4 linked regions of the Schizosaccharomyces pombe genome follow. Changing the gene in region 4 together with the main gene of any one other region gives a genetic interaction. Each region holds a gene or a part of one and is shown on either strand. Other genes may lie near its edges. The genes, in order: utp16, tma20, pnk1 and tma22.

The links.
Region 1: mutations in tma22 (region 4) and utp16 together harm fitness more than expected from each alone (negative genetic interaction), as found in Schizosaccharomyces pombe (2 studies listed by BioGRID).
Region 2: mutations in tma22 (region 4) and tma20 together harm fitness less than expected from each alone (positive genetic interaction), as found in Schizosaccharomyces pombe (2 studies listed by BioGRID).
Region 3: mutations in tma22 (region 4) and pnk1 together harm fitness more than expected from each alone (negative genetic interaction), as found in Schizosaccharomyces pombe (2 studies listed by BioGRID).

Annotation. Positions count from the first base shown.
Region 1 is NC_003423.3:3,649,820-3,653,741, forward strand, and holds utp16 (U3 snoRNP-associated protein Utp16), read right to left. Parts: upstream 2,002-3,922; coding exon 1,964-2,001; intron 1,919-1,963; exon of another isoform or gene 1,898-1,918; coding exon 1,355-1,897; exon of another isoform or gene 1,211-1,354; coding exon 808-1,210; 3' UTR 542-807; downstream 1-541. Other genes in the region: karyopherin exportin-T Los1, read right to left, coding at 1-262; ubiquitin protease cofactor Nxt3, read left to right, coding at 2,488-2,601, 2,670-2,744, 2,861-3,922. UniProt on the Schizosaccharomyces pombe protein: Functions as part of the small subunit (SSU) processome, first precursor of the small eukaryotic ribosomal subunit that coordinates the first two steps of ribosome biogenesis in transcription of the primary transcript pre-RNA and pre-18S processing.
Region 2 is NC_003423.3:3,771,580-3,774,772, reverse strand, and holds tma20 (RNA-binding protein Tma20), read right to left. Parts: upstream 1,477-3,193; 5' UTR 1,466-1,476; coding exon 1,455-1,465; exon of another isoform or gene 1,401-1,454; coding exon 1,248-1,400; exon of another isoform or gene 1,193-1,247; coding exon 1,095-1,192; exon of another isoform or gene 979-1,094; coding exon 774-978; intron 715-773; coding exon 657-714; intron 636-656; exon of another isoform or gene 582-635; coding exon 561-581; 3' UTR 501-560; downstream 1-500. Other genes in the region: histone chaperone Hip1, read left to right, coding at 1-416; protein Cwf4, read left to right, coding at 1,716-3,193. UniProt on the Schizosaccharomyces pombe protein: Involved in translation.
Region 3 is NC_003424.3:2,135,476-2,141,463, forward strand, and holds pnk1 (DNA kinase/phosphatase Pnk1), read right to left. Parts: upstream 3,993-5,988; 5' UTR 3,964-3,992; coding exon 3,423-3,963; exon of another isoform or gene 3,400-3,422; intron 3,370-3,399; coding exon 2,974-3,369; intron 2,935-2,973; coding exon 2,792-2,934; intron 2,736-2,791; coding exon 2,589-2,735; 3' UTR 2,467-2,588; coding exon of another isoform or gene 670-2,466; 3' UTR 559-669; downstream 1-558. Other genes in the region: rps23 (40S ribosomal protein uS12), read right to left, coding at 1-313; mpp10 (U3 snoRNP-associated protein Mpp1), read left to right, coding at 670-2,466; ipp1 (inorganic pyrophosphatase), read left to right, coding at 5,054-5,923. UniProt on the Schizosaccharomyces pombe protein: Catalyzes the phosphorylation of DNA at 5'-hydroxyl termini and can dephosphorylate its 3'-phosphate termini. Has a role in the repair of breaks in single-stranded DNA.
Region 4 is NC_003423.3:4,333,767-4,337,000, reverse strand, and holds tma22 (mitochondrial translation initiation factor), read right to left. Parts: upstream 1,409-3,234; 5' UTR 1,383-1,408; coding exon 1,314-1,382; intron 1,261-1,313; coding exon 757-1,260; 3' UTR 521-756; downstream 1-520. Other genes in the region: protein Dbl6, read right to left, coding at 1,799-2,851.

The sequences.
Region 1 (3,922 bases), 680 kb from region 4:
CACTGTCTCTTATCATCTGTAACTCTAACAAATTGCTTTCATTGTTCCATTCTCTAACTTTCTCACTAAGAGTTTGAAGGCAAATCAGTCTTGTTGATGGTTTATATTTCGTTTTTTCACTAAAAATTTCATGGCATATTTTCCAACCTGTAGATGAGCTTCTAAGGCTACCAATAAAATCTGTAGCTTGTTGCTTTATTATTGGTCCTACAGAAGGATCTAATGCTGCTTCTACTGCGTTTTCGACATCCTGGGCCGACATGGCTGCAGAGGTGAAGGTCAACAATGCTTTGAAGTGACAAAATTTTTGTGGTGCTAAAAAGCGAAGTTTGCCTAGTGCAAGTAGTCGAAAGTACAAACCATCTCAGAAATTTATATGCAAATATTTTATAATTATAAGTAGTAAATGTTCATACACTAGACAATTAATAATATATTTATGCAAATTTTGGCCTTATGAGCTATAGCTACTGATATCTATAATATCTATGATGTACGAAACGTTACATGAGCGAATTTCCTCTAGTGCATGGCAATAAATCCTTGATACAACTTTAATTAACTCATGTTTGTCTAAAGTGTTTATTTTTAAAAATACTATGTTAAACATTTACCAAAAAAACAGCCGTAAACTGCACTTAGCATGTCCAAAGCTTCAAATAATGAATGTTTTAGAACCCAGACAACCTTTTCCCAACCAATATTATTAATAAACAAAAAAGTAAACCCTTATATTAACAGAAAATGCAATGCTTGTGCCTGACTTTCAATTTACAGCGAATGTGTTGCCAAATAGAGAAAGGAAAATTAATAAGTCAAGGGACGTCGTCTTTTAGACGCCCGGGGAACTGATTGTCGATTTATCCAATCCCGTTTACGCTGTGACAGTTTCTTTTCATAGTTCGGCGCTAGTAAAGGGTCATTTGTTTCTTTAAGAACGCTCACTTTAAAATCACCTTTACGAAATGAACGAGTACGTTTTTTAGGAATTTCGTTATTAGGAAAAACAATTTTATGTCCTTTTGGAGTATATAGGTCAAGGCTTGCTTCGTCAACCTTTTCTTCGATTTCCGTGGTACTATTAATTTCTTCAACTTCAGCTGCCTCAAGAATAGCCAAATCCAACTTTGATGCGCTTACCCGTTGGGCATTTCTTTCACGATTTCTTTCATTTTGCAGTCTACGTTTTTCTCTTTCAGCTTTTCGAAGCCTAAAATGTGTTAAAAATAATACTATCAAAAGCAAGGAAACGAAATGAGCAGTCGAACTTTTATCAAACAAATTATTATTCTGTCTCAAACCAAAACAAATAGTATTTTTAAGTGTTTCCCTCATTCCGTTTATTAAAACTTACTGTAATTCATTCCCTTTCAGACGTTGAAGTCTCTTTTTTACCTCATCGCTGCTGCTCTTCAGCGAAACTTCTTCAGGTGCTTCATCAGAATCACTGTCAGATGATTGATTTTGAGAGTAGTGTGAGGCTTCATTATCTTCAATTTCCGCTTTCAACAAATCATTTGGTTTGTTTAAATTTGAAAATGAAGGACCTTTGCTTGGGGCAGTCAATCTTGCCATTCTAGTATTTGACAAATTTTCAATTTTCGAATAAGTAATGCAACAAAATGTCTTTATCAGAAGTTTATACCTTAACAGACAAGTTTTGGATTTTAATACTATAAAACGAAGACTATTAAAGGATTTGAAACTTTTTTGACCTGAATTGGTGTAGGAGGAGGATAACTGGCAATGCGAGTGAAACTTCTTAATGCCACCAAAATGGCAGTGAACAAAATGGATAGGATAGGTACTTTCCTGAGTCTTACAAAATTTATCAATAAATAATTTATTTAAAGTAAGATACGTTGCAATTATAGCACTAGATTTTAACCCTTTAATGCTGGTAAATAAGAAGAAGAAAGTAATTTCAATTTTCGTTAATTAAATGATTTAAAGGCTCGCATACTTTCTTTTTAGTATCATAATTTTTCTAGACGATTGCATTTAAAGCTGTTAAACTAATTGACTTTTGGCAAAATCATTAGCAGGTTAATCTCTCTAGCACAGTATATAGTCGTATTACTATTCAAAATGTTTAGTGGTTTCCAATGAATTAACGTTTCTAATATAATCAATTTGCAAAACAATAATAGAAAGAAATATATGCAACTTTGATCTATGGTAAATCATATGATGTTTATGTTATTTGTTGAAATGAAAAACCAAACAATTTTCTGACCAAAAGGTCTCTCTTTCCATCAACTAACTTACTTATGCGAACAAGTTGAATGTAAAAGATCAACAGAAATATCGTTTAGTCTCGTTAAATCCAATTACGAAATGCTGTAATCACGGACATTGAAAGCAAGGAGATGGGACATTAAAAAGACCAACGCACGGAAAACATAAGACACGACCGAATTTTGTTTTGGGTCTTTTAGAGCCAGATTTTCTGTTCTTTGTATAGCTATTGTCACAGTTAAATAAAACATGACTGCGGAAAATGCCACATTATTAGAACCAGTTTTGGGAAAGGATGAGATAGGATGGATGTTCGTTCAAGAATATTATACATATTTAAATAAAGAACCCAATCGTCTTCATGTAGGTCGTCATAATTTACCAAAAGTTTTTTTTTCTTCAACTTGTGAACCGTACTAACTGTAATACAGTGTTTCTATACTAAAAAGTCAACTTTAATTCACGGAGACGAAGGCGAGAGTATTAGTCTTTGTCATGGACAACAGGTATGCTTTAACACAATTCTTATATGTAAAGTTTTTGAGGTTGTGATATTCTGCTTGCGATTTTCGAAACTCTATGATCGTTGTCTTGCCCAATAGTCATTTTATTAACGTGTTAGGAAATTCATAACAAGATATTGGACTTGGACTTTCAAAATTGCAAAGTACTTATTTCAAACGTTGACAGTTTGGCTTCTTCGAATGGTGGCATTGTCATCCAGGTCCTGGGTGAAATGTCTAATAAGGGGAAATTATCCAGAAAATTTGCTCAAACATTTTTCCTTGCAGAACAACCAAATGGTTATTTTGTTTTAAACGATATTTTCCGTTTTTTGCGTGAAGATGTTGAGGAAGAAGAGGAGTCACCTGATGCTGTTGAAAAAGAGAAAAAAGATGTTGCTTCTGAACCTTACGTAAATGGCGTGCAATCTCAAGAACATTTACCTTCTGCAAAAGAAGAAGGCCATTACCAGGATCCAGCTGCTACAGAAAATAATTTTGCCACAGCCGCTCTTATATCAAATGAGACCGACAGTCTAAATCAAGCTACTTTGGCTGTTCCTGAAGAACCCGTTATCCAAGTTACGGAAGCCTCAGTCCCAAGTTTTGTTTCTCAGCAGGAAAATCAGCTTCAAGATGAAGCTCTGACTTCAAACTCGAAGAATGCTGATGCTATAGGGGCTAGCGATGCAAATGTTGCTACAGCACCTAAATCTTGGGCTGATCTCATAGCTCGTAATCATCCTGATGTGAAATCCCAAGCATCAGTTAGTTCTACTGCGTCTACAACTGGTCAAACAGTTAAAGGTGTTAATGCTGACCAAACTCAGCAGCCAACAGCGCCGTACACTCAGAGTAATGAACTGTTGGAGACATCTGTATTCGTCAAGAACATTCCTCCCGAAACATCTGATGTGTCATTGAAATCTGCTATGAGCATTTTTGGACCAGTCAAGGCTATTGAGTTTGCTCGTCGCAAAGGCACCGCATATGTTGATTTTGTCAACCATGAATGCGTGCAATTGGCTTTGAACAAAAAAACTTTGCAAATTAACAATGCCACGCTGAACATAGAAGAACGACGCCGTCTTTTTTCCGGTAAATTCAACAAATCGGGAGATAAGAAGTCCAACGATAATTATAATGGAATGAAAAGGAATTTTCGCAAAGGTAACCGTGGT
Region 2 (3,193 bases), 560 kb from region 4:
GTCAGCCGCTCAAAATATATGAACACCGAACTAATAATGTTTTAATGGATTCTGGAAGAGGAAAACTATTACAAAAAATGGTAGCTGATGCAATCACTGAAGAAGGTTATGATGATTTTGAGACCATAGTTACTATTAATCATTTAGAAAACAAAATCGCTTCTGCTCGATTACTTAAGTTGGATGATGAGTTTTTAGTAACAAGCGAAGTTTATGTCAGACTATTAATGCATCATGGTCTTTGGCAAAAATTGGAGGAATTTTTAGGAGAGCTACGAACTCAAACAAAATGTTCAATTAAATTATCAGGAAGAGAAGTTGTTGCAAAAATGTTAGTGGTTTTACGACAAGCAGTACAAACTGATAATGAATTTGATCGTGCAAACAAATTAATAGAAAAATACGCATCAACCTGAAAAAAATTGAGGCTATTTTAAATTTGACTTTTCTTTCTTGCATTCTGTTTAAGTCTAATACAATACTCATTGGAAAAATCTGAATAGTTTTGAAAGCAAAATAATGCATTAATTTTATTCTTTTAATGTCTTATACTATAGATGTTATTCTAAAATAGTCTTCCACTGTGAATATTAGTTAACATTACATTCCAATAAGCAAGAGGAAATTATAAATGGTTTAAAATGTAAATCACATACCAAGTTGTCGCCAAGATAATGCACATTTTCTATGCCGATTCCTTTATTAGTCTCTTTCCTAAACAATTCAAGCATGTTAGTTAATAGTTCAAGTTATGAGTGTCAATAGTATATTACATTTCTTTAGCAGACATTTTTGTAAGCCCAATTGCAGCAGGGGCTTCCTTTCCCTCAGCTGTAACAATCACATATTGATCTTTTTCGATGTCATCAGGCAAATTGCCGCCTTTGGAAACCAAGCCAGGAATCATAATATTGGCACCCGAGAGAAGGAATTTGATAGCTCCTCTGTCTACTCGAACTTGAGTAAAGGCATCCGGACCTAGGCGTATTAGTATATATTTGAACTAAACACAGATATGTTGTTGTCGATTCTGACCAGCTAGACAAAAACCAGAACTCCAATCAAACGTTGCGGTTACGTTAGCTTATACTCACATTTATGAACAAGACGAAGAGAAGGAATGATAGGGCCGTCGAAGTGCTGGAAAAGGATAATTTCGCCATTCAAAGTATACAAAAATAAACGATCCTCACTTAAACAATATCAGTACGACATACTAAAAATCACGGATGCTGATAAGAACGAACCATTTTATTTGAGTTAGTTGTGATTTTTTGGGAATTAACTCATCGATAACTTGTTTTAAGTTAGGATAAGCTTGTACTAGTTTTGCTTTTATTCCTCTTTGAATAGAAGACTTGATTGGAGTAGTTCCCTTTATATCTTCTCTAGAGTTAAATCTGTTGAGGTTAGCAATCATCCTACAAAATTATAAATCCAATTTAGAGCAATACCGTTTGAACATATTATTGAGTATATAGGAGCTGCAGACCATTGCTACAATAAGTTACTAGGTTGTAGCCGCGGTCTCCTCTCGGATGATCCGCGGTGTTGCCGATTACCACCTCGAGGGTTACAAACGTTAGATATATTCATTCATATTTGTGCACGTTTTTGTCTTCTAACAGTAAAAGCCAACTGGTTAAGAGAAGACATAAATCTAGCATATTATTTATTGAGTAATTGTACACTATAGAGATCCAGAATAATATAAGATGACTTCGGAAGCGCCCAGGGTAAAAAATAAGAACCCAGCACCCATCCAAATCTCAGCTGAACAATTGCTCCGAGAAGCTGTAGAACGACAAGATGTGGCGTTTGTTCCTCCAAAAATTAATATCACTGATCTTGAGGAGCTTCAAGAATTTCAAGGTCGAAAACGTAAAGAATTTGAAGATGCCATTCGACGGAATCGTCTCGCTATGGGCCATTGGATGCGATATGGTCAGTGGGAATTAGACCAAAAAGAATTTGCGAGAGCTCGCTCTGTTTTTGAAAGAGCTTTGGATGTAGATTCTACTTATATACCGTTATGGCTGAAATATATTGAATGCGAAATGAAGAATCGAAATATCAACCATGCCAGAAATTTATTTGATCGTGCTGTTACACAGCTTCCCCGTGTTGATAAACTATGGTACAAATACGTATATATGGAGGAAATGTTAGGAAATATCACCGGTTGTAGACAAGTATTTGAAAGATGGCTTAAGTGGGAGCCTGATGAAAACTGTTGGATGAGTTATATTCGAATGGAGAGGAGGTACCATGAAAACGAACGGGCTCGTGGCATATATGAACGATTTGTCGTTGTGCATCCTGAAGTAACGAATTGGCTTCGTTGGGCTCGTTTTGAAGAAGAATGCGGAAATGCTGCAAACGTTCGCCAAGTCTATTTGGCTGCTATAGATGCTCTTGGTCAGGAGTTTCTGAATGAACGGTTTTTTATTGCTTTTGCAAAATTCGAAATTCGTCAAAAGGAATATGAACGAGCTCGCACCATTTTCAAATATGCAATTGATTTTATGCCCCGATCAAAATCTATGGAACTATATAAGGAATACACTCATTTTGAAAAACAATTTGGAGATCATTTGGGCGTTGAGTCTACTGTGCTCGATAAGCGTCGATTACAATACGAAAAGCTATTGAAGGATTCTCCTTATGACTATGACACTTGGCTTGATTTGCTGAAGCTCGAAGAAAGTGCAGGGGATATTAATACTATTCGCGAAACCTACGAAAAAGCTATTGCTAAGGTTCCTGAAGTAGTTGAAAAGAACGCATGGAGACGTTACGTTTATATTTGGTTAAACTATTGCTTATTTGAAGAGATAGATGTGAAGGACGTTGACCGCGCAAGAAAGGTTTACCAAGAAGCTCTCAAGCTTATACCCCATAAAAAATTTACATTTGCCAAATTATGGCTCATGTATGCAATGTTTGAGCTTAGGCAACGTAAGATTGATGTTGCTAGAAAAACGTTGGGTCGTGCGTTGGGAATGTGTCCAAAACCAAAATTATTCCGAGGTTATATTGAATTCGAAGACGCAATTAAGCAGTTTGACAGGTGTCGAATTCTTTATGAAAAATGGATTCTTTATGATCCCGAGGCTTGTGCTCCCTGGCTTGGTTACGCTGCCTTAGAGACTAAGCTTGGAGATAGTGATCGTGCTCGCGCTTTATATAATTT
Region 3 (5,988 bases), on a different chromosome or scaffold from region 4:
AACCAGAAAGAAGAACTTCGTCGTTTTCATCAACGAAGTTGAGACAACCATCGTGGGGAACGAAAGCGGTAACTTTCTTACCATTCTTGATCAACTGAACACGAACACATTTACGAATAGCAGAGTTAGGTTGCTTAGCTTCTACACCAATCTTTTCGACAACGATACCCTTAGCATGAGACGATCCACCGAAAGGTGATGACTTGTAAGCGGTTCCCAATAAGCGCTTCTTGTAATGAGCATCGGCCCAACGCTCCTCACGGCGATGATTGCGAAGCTTACGAGCGGCGTTCAATCCTGCGGGTTTTCCCATTTTGTAGTATAGAGGTTGCGGCGAACTGTGTGTTGGATTTAGGTGAACTTAGCTTTATGTCCAAAACAGTCACAAACCCTACCCTTCTTATATAATATAGTACGCAACGCTTCACTAAGTAAATTGTTGATGCCCATACTTACTAAAATTTTACTACATTACAAAAAAGAAAAAACATCTAAAACAAAAAACATACGTCTTTTTGATTATTTTGGAAAAAGGAGTTGCAAGTACTTTGCAAAAGGTTTGGTGTGTAATATTTAAGCTCAATTGGTATTTATTTGTTTCGTACTTGGAATACTTCCAAGATATTTAGTCAAAGTTTTGTGAGATTTAAAAAAAAAAAAAGATTTGATATGACTGAACTTATAAATTCCGAGCCAACACTCTTTTTGTTCCCGAATAAAGAGGATTCAAAGCAATTGGTTGAAAAAGCTATTGAGGTTTTCTCAAATATAAAAATCCCATCTACAAGTCCCATCCAAACAATTGTCACAAAAGGATTAGATAATTGGCAAATATATAACCAACTAGCATTAGCTGCCAAGTATGCATTAGATGATCTCCCTCAAGTTGATGTTGAAAACGAAGACGAAGAAGAAGATAGCATTACTTCTTTCCAGGATGAGGATGATGAAACAAGTCATCAGGAACTCTCTGACAATAGTGAAATGAACAATCGGGATGATGCTGATGATGAATTTTTAGGGTTCTCTGGTCCAGAAAATCTAGAAGATGTCGACGAAAGTTCTGCCGAAGATGTTTCAGGAGATGAAGCTGAAATTATGAATGAAGAAGGACAACAAATCGAACAGAAAAAAGACGCATTTGGACTTAATGATGGTTTTTTTGATATTGATAATTTTAACAAGCAAACCTTAGCTTTAGAAGAGGAAGCAGTCGAAGAGGGTGTCCTCGGCGATGAAGATGACGGTATTGACTTGTTAATGGATCCCGATGAGAATATGGAAGACTCTGAAGATGAATCAAATGGTCCTCAGGCTGACTCCATTATGTACGAAGATTTTTTTGGTCCAAAAACAGCGGCCGGTCGCCGTGAACTAAAAAAGAAAAAGGCCGAATCCAAAAGAAAAAGAACAAGTAAACCGGATTTCAAAAATGATGTGCAACAAAATGTTATTGAAGAAAATAATGAGAGCTCTGACAATGAGTATGCTACCTTTGATCGAGTGAAGAAAGATTTATTTGCTAGTGACGAAGAAGACGATGTTTCAGCTGATCAATTATCTTCTTATGAGCGCGATAAAGCCCGTTTGACTCAGCAAATTCGTGAGCTCGAGGCTGAAAACGTTGCCAAGAAGTCCTGGACCATGATGGGGGAGGCAACGTCTAAAGGACGACCTTCTAATTCACTGTTAGACGTTGATTTGGAATTTGAAACTGGTGCTAAACCTGTCCCTGTACAAACGGAAGAGACTACTGAGACATTAGAAGATTTAATTAAAAACCGAATTATTTCCAAAACATTTGATGATGTACCTAAACGCGCGCCAGTTGCTGTTACTGAATTTCGACCAAGCGAATTATTCGAGTTAAACGAAAATAAGTCTCAGCGTTCTTTAGCAGAAGAATATGAAGAAGAATTCCTTAAAAAGAGCAACGCCGACACATATAAGAGTGAAGCTGATAAAAAGAAAGAAAAAGAACATGAAGAAATCAAGGCATTGTTTTCGGAAGTCAGCCGCACTTTAGATTCTCTTGCTTCTTGGCATTATGTTCCCCCTCCTCCTGAGTCTACTGTTGAAATTGTTTCTAATGCACCCACTTTAGCAATGGAGGACGTTCAGCCAACTGCTGCCTCTGACACTATGGCATTGGCTCCTCAAGAAGTTTATAAACCGTCTAATGAGAATCGTGAAGGTGAAACTATTACTCGGTCAGGTATCGCCATTTCATCGACTGAAATGGACCACCAACAAAAGCAAGCACGCCGCAGGCGGGTGCGTAGAAAACATGCTGAGAAACGTAAGCAAATGGCTGAGAAAAGAAGGAATTCCGGTACTGAACAAGTCGTTCGTCAATTATCAAAATCGAATGTTGAGGTCATTGGTAAAGGAGGTGAGCGCAAAAAGGTTGCAAGTAATTCAAACAAATATCATCCGATTGTTTCTTCAAATCAGCTAAAGCTTTGAAGATAAATTTCGGTGTTAAGTGTGCTAGTCATAATTTTTATAAACGTTTGGTTTTAGTGGGATCAATAACTATATATTTTTGAAATTAATGCAATTTAATAATTTCTTAGATATCATTCGTATTATTCGTACCAATAATTCCATGTATCTTCATAGTCTTTAAGGCATTTAAAAGGAACTTCTTCAACATTTGTAAAACCTTCTTCTACTGTTGGCATTTGAAAACGAGATTTGAAAGAATTAAACGCTATCTCGGGAAGTTGTTTTTGCTAGAATTGGTTAGGAATTCTTCTAAGTCTTTCTAATGCTCCAACAGGTAACTTACGTTATGGTGAATGTAACGGAAAACGTTGTTGTGTCTGGCAAGTTCCTCAGATGACTGAAGATGAATGCAGCGTATAGGGATCTCAAATTCTTGGGCTATGTCAATCCACATTTTTCGTGATTCTATTGTAGGGTTTGTGTTGTCTGAAATCGCGTAAGTCGTTGAAATGATCGAGTACATACCTATGACAACCGATTTTTCTTTTTTAAGTGCCTCTATGGCAGCCTTGATGCATTTTGATTTCGTTTTTAAGATGTCTTGATTTACCCTTTCGTATCCTTGAGTGACAATCTGAGATTCAGCTAAAGTACTCTTCCCAGAAGAAGGAAACCCAACTAAAACAACAATTTCTTGATGCTCGGATTTTTTAAAATGGTATGGATGTGAAGAAGAATTTCTTACAAGGTAATTCTTTGGATGAAATGATTCAAAGTTTGGAGGCACAAATGAATGCCCCAAGAAAAATTGCTCGGGCGTCTCAAATTTAATCCCAATGTTTTCAGCAAACTTTAAATCAGTTGAATTATGATCACCCGGACGGCCTGCAGCATCACCTACGTATTTGATGAAAGATAAATCTAAAGGGTGAAAAATGTTAATAGGCCTTGATAAATTACAAGCGTCAACTCACCAATTGAACGGTTCACGTCTTTTAAAAAGGAATTCCACATTCCTGTCAATGGTTTTCTAAACTTATCTTTCAAGATGGCAGCATACAATACAATAGGTAGATCTAATGACTCAAAAATAGCACGAATCTTCATCTGAAAGGTATGTCCGGCAGAAGGTTTTCTTGGAATTCCGTTTTGATTACTGAAAATAACAAGAGAATAATTGTCTTGGTATAAAGCCTTCAATTTTGGGACAACGCTTGGATGCCACCAGGTCCAGTCAGCTGCATCTTTTGAAAATACTCTACCAGATTTAGTTTTTATGAGCGTTCCATCTAAATCAAATGCAATAAATTTTTTAGTCTTTTTTAGTTTTCCATACTTTGCTATGTATAATGAATCGGTGATGCTCCATTGAATTTCTATTTTCTGTTGAAGGCATGTCGAGGATGAATCAGAATCTTTGTTTTGAGAGCCGTACTTTTTTGAGGATTTAGACGATTTTTCAAAATATGAAGTTAAAGATTCCTGGGGGGGAGACTTTCTTTTTTTCGACGACATCGCGATTGACGAAATACTAAATGGGACTTGGTAATTGAGTTAGCTATATTATAATTGCATAGCAATGAAAATGGGTGGTTTCAATAACATACTTAAAAATGGATAACAGATGAAAATTTTATTTTTCGCTCTATTGAATTTTCAATTGTTTTTGATCAATTACATAAAATGCCTCATATACAACAATTAGTGAGAAGATATATTATATCATATAGTCCTTAATCGAAGATTTAATATGTTTACTGACTTGAAAATAATTCTTATTCGAAGAAATTTAGACAATAAATAACAAGAAAATTCTTTAATTTATTCGTCTAATTTATTATTTGGCAACCATTCAAAGATTTCACAAATAACATATTTGAGACCTACATCTTATTCATTAACAATTGCATATCTCGTTATTTACGAACATTAGTTTTTTTTTTTTGGTATCGTTTAAAATTAAACCGTTTATTTTTAAACAAAAAATGAAGGACATCGGCAATATTTTGTTTTTATGTATGAGCTTTTTTTTGCATTATTTTTTCGTTTGTCATTTATCTTTTTTAGTAGCTGATCTGGAATTTAAAAACAAAAATTTCCATAATTAATTAATTTAAATATTTCGTATATTTTTATATAAACATTATGGCTTCTACTGCATCAGCCAAGAATTTACTGATCGCAAAATCAGTATTCCACAAGATCCATATCGACAGAAAAGAAACCTGCATACAAGGCTAATAAATATCTTTGATTGTGTTTAATATAAAAAATTGATAAATTCTCGTAAAACAATTTAATTTTAATAATTTATTTGTGCTAAATTTTTATCATGTTGTGGAAATCTCCTTTACTATCAATCATTTAATAAAGTATTGCTAAAGAAAGTAACTTTATAACAGTATTACCCTATGTAAGATTCACAAATCCATCTTTATGCTGTATAAAATAAAAACATGCGATATTAAAAATATAAACCTGTTCCTTAGAAAATTTTATAAATTAATATAAGATTTTTTGTATACATTGAGTTACAAATTTTGTAGCAGATGTTGCGAATTAGTGCACATTGCAACCTGTACTTAACCAAAAACACTTTTCAGTCATGAGTGAATACACTACCCGTGAAGTTGGCGCTTTGAACACATTGGACTACCAAGTCTATGTTGAGAAAAATGGTACTCCTATCTCTTCTTGGCACGATATCCCCTTGTATGCCAATGCTGAGAAGACCATCTTGAACATGGTCGTTGAGATCCCTCGTTGGACTCAGGCTAAGCTTGAAATTACCAAGGAAGCTACCTTGAACCCTATCAAGCAAGATACTAAGAAGGGTAAGCTTCGTTTCGTTCGTAACTGCTTTCCTCACCACGGTTACATTTGGAACTACGGTGCTTTTCCTCAAACCTATGAGGATCCTAATGTTGTTCATCCTGAAACCAAGGCCAAGGGTGATAGCGATCCTCTCGATGTTTGTGAGATCGGTGAAGCTCGTGGCTACACCGGCCAAGTCAAGCAAGTTAAGGTCTTGGGTGTTATGGCCCTTCTTGACGAGGGTGAGACTGACTGGAAGGTTATTGTCATCGACGTTAATGACCCTTTAGCTCCTAAGCTTAATGATATTGAGGATGTTGAACGTCATATGCCTGGCTTAATCCGTGCTACTAACGAGTGGTTCCGCATTTACAAGATCCCCGATGGCAAGCCTGAAAATTCCTTTGCTTTCAGTGGTGAATGCAAGAACCGTAAGTATGCTGAAGAAGTTGTTCGTGAGTGCAATGAAGCTTGGGAGCGCCTTATTACCGGTAAGACTGATGCCAAGTCTGACTTTTCTTTGGTCAATGTTTCAGTCACTGGATCTGTTGCCAATGACCCTTCCGTTTCCAGCACTATTCCTCCTGCTCAAGAGCTCGCTCCTGCTCCTGTTGATCCCAGCGTTCACAAATGGTTCTACATTTCTGGCTCTCCTCTTTAAGTAGTAGTATCACACTATAATATAGAATATAGACTATATCTGCGACACTACATTTTTGACCGAAA
Region 4 (3,234 bases):
TTCGTTGCTTTTGGCAATGTTCGAATGGTGAAATCGTCAACTTCCCCATCAGCATTGCTTAATGCGCCTCAACGCAAATGACTCAAAAACTTCAATAACGAAATACGCATTCGGATCTCTTAAGTGTTTGTATCGATATTAAAATCCTGTCCCCTGAAAGTTAAGTACACTGAAGAACTAGCTACTGAGTAATGTTATTATCACGGTTCTTCTTAGTTAATAATGAAGCTACAACTATTTGCATAGTAAATCAATTTTATCAAATTTAAAAAGGTGACAATGATCACAGCATTCTTTGTAGAATCGATTACTTTGTCAAAATATAATTTATTCCTACATTCAAGACAACATTTTCTTAATGAACTACTAAGCTGCCTTATTTTGTATGCTGATAACGTCCAAAAAGGCGTAAAGAAACACAATTTCAATTTTTAACTGCTAAGAAATTCATGGCATACACAACGAATGCTAATACTACTCTATAGCCTTGGCAATGAAATGTAAGTAAACAAATGGTGACTTCAAATCATCATACTAATACAACAGGCAATAAATTGTAAAATATTGATAATTAGGCATTTTTTATATAGAAACATTAAAAAACATGAGTCTCAATAAATTATTAAAAACCGGTATCCTAACTGTGCAACCATTTAACAGAAAATTAGGTTGTACAAGATTGTACAAGACAGTTTATGATAAAATAGCCCCAAAAATAGCATACTTAGTAGTATTTTTAAAAAATAAAAATTAAGATTACTGCTTCTTCTTAGATTTCGTATCTTCGACAATTTTAATATTGTCTTCCGGAACCTCTTTAAACTTTTCCAAAATAAAATCAAATATATCATAATTCAAATCACCCTGTACAACAATTTCATCCTTCTTATCAGCTGTTTTAGTGACACTGGCTCCGGTCGCGAACTTGTTGGCCAACATCTTAGCAGCTTTTTTCGTTTCGATCCCAAATGCGTCAAGACCTTGAACTGTGGTGACTCTCTTTCTTTTAGTTCTTTCAATGGTTTTTATCAAAACCTTGGATGCCATACGTTTGGCTTCTTCACGCTCAACGCGCTTTTCCTCCTTCGTCAATTTTGCCGGTTGTTCTTCTGCATTAGAATCTTTAGTTCCGCTAACATTCAGAGTGTTTTCAAGGTCTTTGCTTAAGTCTTGCTCACCGTACAATTTATCATAAACGTCCGGGTGAGATGATTTAAGCCATTCTTTACATTTTTTTAAAGTGCCCTCAAATTCGCAGTACTACAACGCATTCATAGTTAATATAATTATAAAACAAGTTGTTTATTACGTACTTCCACGGGCAATGTACAAACATCGCAGTATAATACTGATTTTAACTTCGGGATGGTTTGTGAAGCCATTATTTGAGTTTCTTGCAGTATAGGTTAAAGTAGAGACTACCTGGGGGAACGAAAATAGAAAGCGAGATTCAAAGAGGCGAAGCCTAAATATACTATGAGAGTAAAATATGCTTAAAAGCTGTAAGTTATTCGTTAAATAAAAAGTAATTCACATCTCAAGTCGTTTTAAATTTTAGAATATAATGTTATGCTGCTGAAACCGTAAACGGATTTTTAGGACTTTTGTTTACATATCAAAACAATGATATGATAACAAGCTGTTCTTTATAAAGAGTAATAAAAATAACGGCGCTGTAACATTGTAAACTAGATTCAACATGATAAAAAGCTACTACAAAATAAGTTGCGTAAAAAGATAGGAAATTAATTATTCAATTATTGTACAAATAAATACACACTTCGCAGCGTGAGCTAGTTCATAACTTTAAATTCATCAAGACTTCGTGAGTATCCTTAATCTTCAAGGGGCTGACCATAACAGAATGAATAGGAGAGCATTTCTTATCCAAATCATAATAAATGGAAGGAGATACAGCTCTTCTCTTCGATAAGTCGATTATTTCTTCGCCCCATCGAGTTCGCTTTTTCGAGGATGGGGTACGGGATCTGGAGTGATTGCTATTCGGAGTTGACATTTCTGTATCCTTAAAAAATACAGAACTGGAAAGCAGAGGAGATATGGGCATCTCATTCGAAGGCTTAGTAGATGGATTGTCCGTATTACTACTGTCCTCTGCAGATGACTCAATTACATCAGAGTTCTCAACAGCTTTCAAAGATCCTGATGGTGCGAGAACATTACCATTTGCACCTGTTATAGAACTGTAAAACGGTACACCCGGACCTACCATTGCAGGCGAAGCAGCTCTAGAAACAAAGGATGATGATTTTTTAGGCTCGAAAAACATCTTGGAAAATTCCGATTCACTACGGATTTCCAACTCCAGAGGAGATGATTCTTCATACAAGGCACTGGCTACGCGTTGGAACATTTTCGGTTTGGGAAGCAAAGACTTTCTTCGTAACACAGGACACAAAGATTTCGAAATTCTTCCAGAATGAGAGGGACTACAAAGGTCCTTTAAATTTTTTACTTCAATATGTTTATTTGGAGTCTTAGAAAACGAACGCTGATCCAAATTTTCATTGTAACTCAACTGCCTAGTTCCTCTAGCCATGGCAGCGGACGGCAAGTCTGTTGTAGAGTCTGATATGTACTCGGTATCATCATCTTCCATATCGGTCAGTTCTGAATCAAGTGGAAACATAGATTCATCAGTTTCGTCGCTCATTGAGTAATTTACATATCTTAATCCGATTGACGGTGAAGCTTCAGGAGAAGGGGCTGTAAAAGTTTGATGCAAGCTTGAGCACCTAATACTTTTCTCTCTGTTTCTTACAAAAAAGTTCAGACTTGAATTTGATGTTGCTGTGGTCGGTTTTCCAGGTGTTGGATGAAATGAATCCATTTCGACAGTATATCCCTACAAAATACCACAAAGACTTAAAAATAATATAAAGGCCCTATATTAAATAATCATTCTATATTTTATTGCATATGCTTTACAATTGAAAAAAATTCGTATTGACGAGGTGACGATAGGCTTCAGTTAAGATCTCGGGAGCAGTACAAAACATAAGCTTAAACATAGTTAATTCCAAAAGAGGATTCAAATCACCATTCTCATAGTAAAGCTTAACAGAAATTAACTTAATCAATAAATGAGAATTGTATAAGCCGCTTCTTTATACATAGTAAATATTAGGACAGACTATATTCAAGTAAGGATATTGTTGATACACTCATCAATTTTAATTTGCTTCAGAGATGTAAAGCAGGAAATTCAAAAGT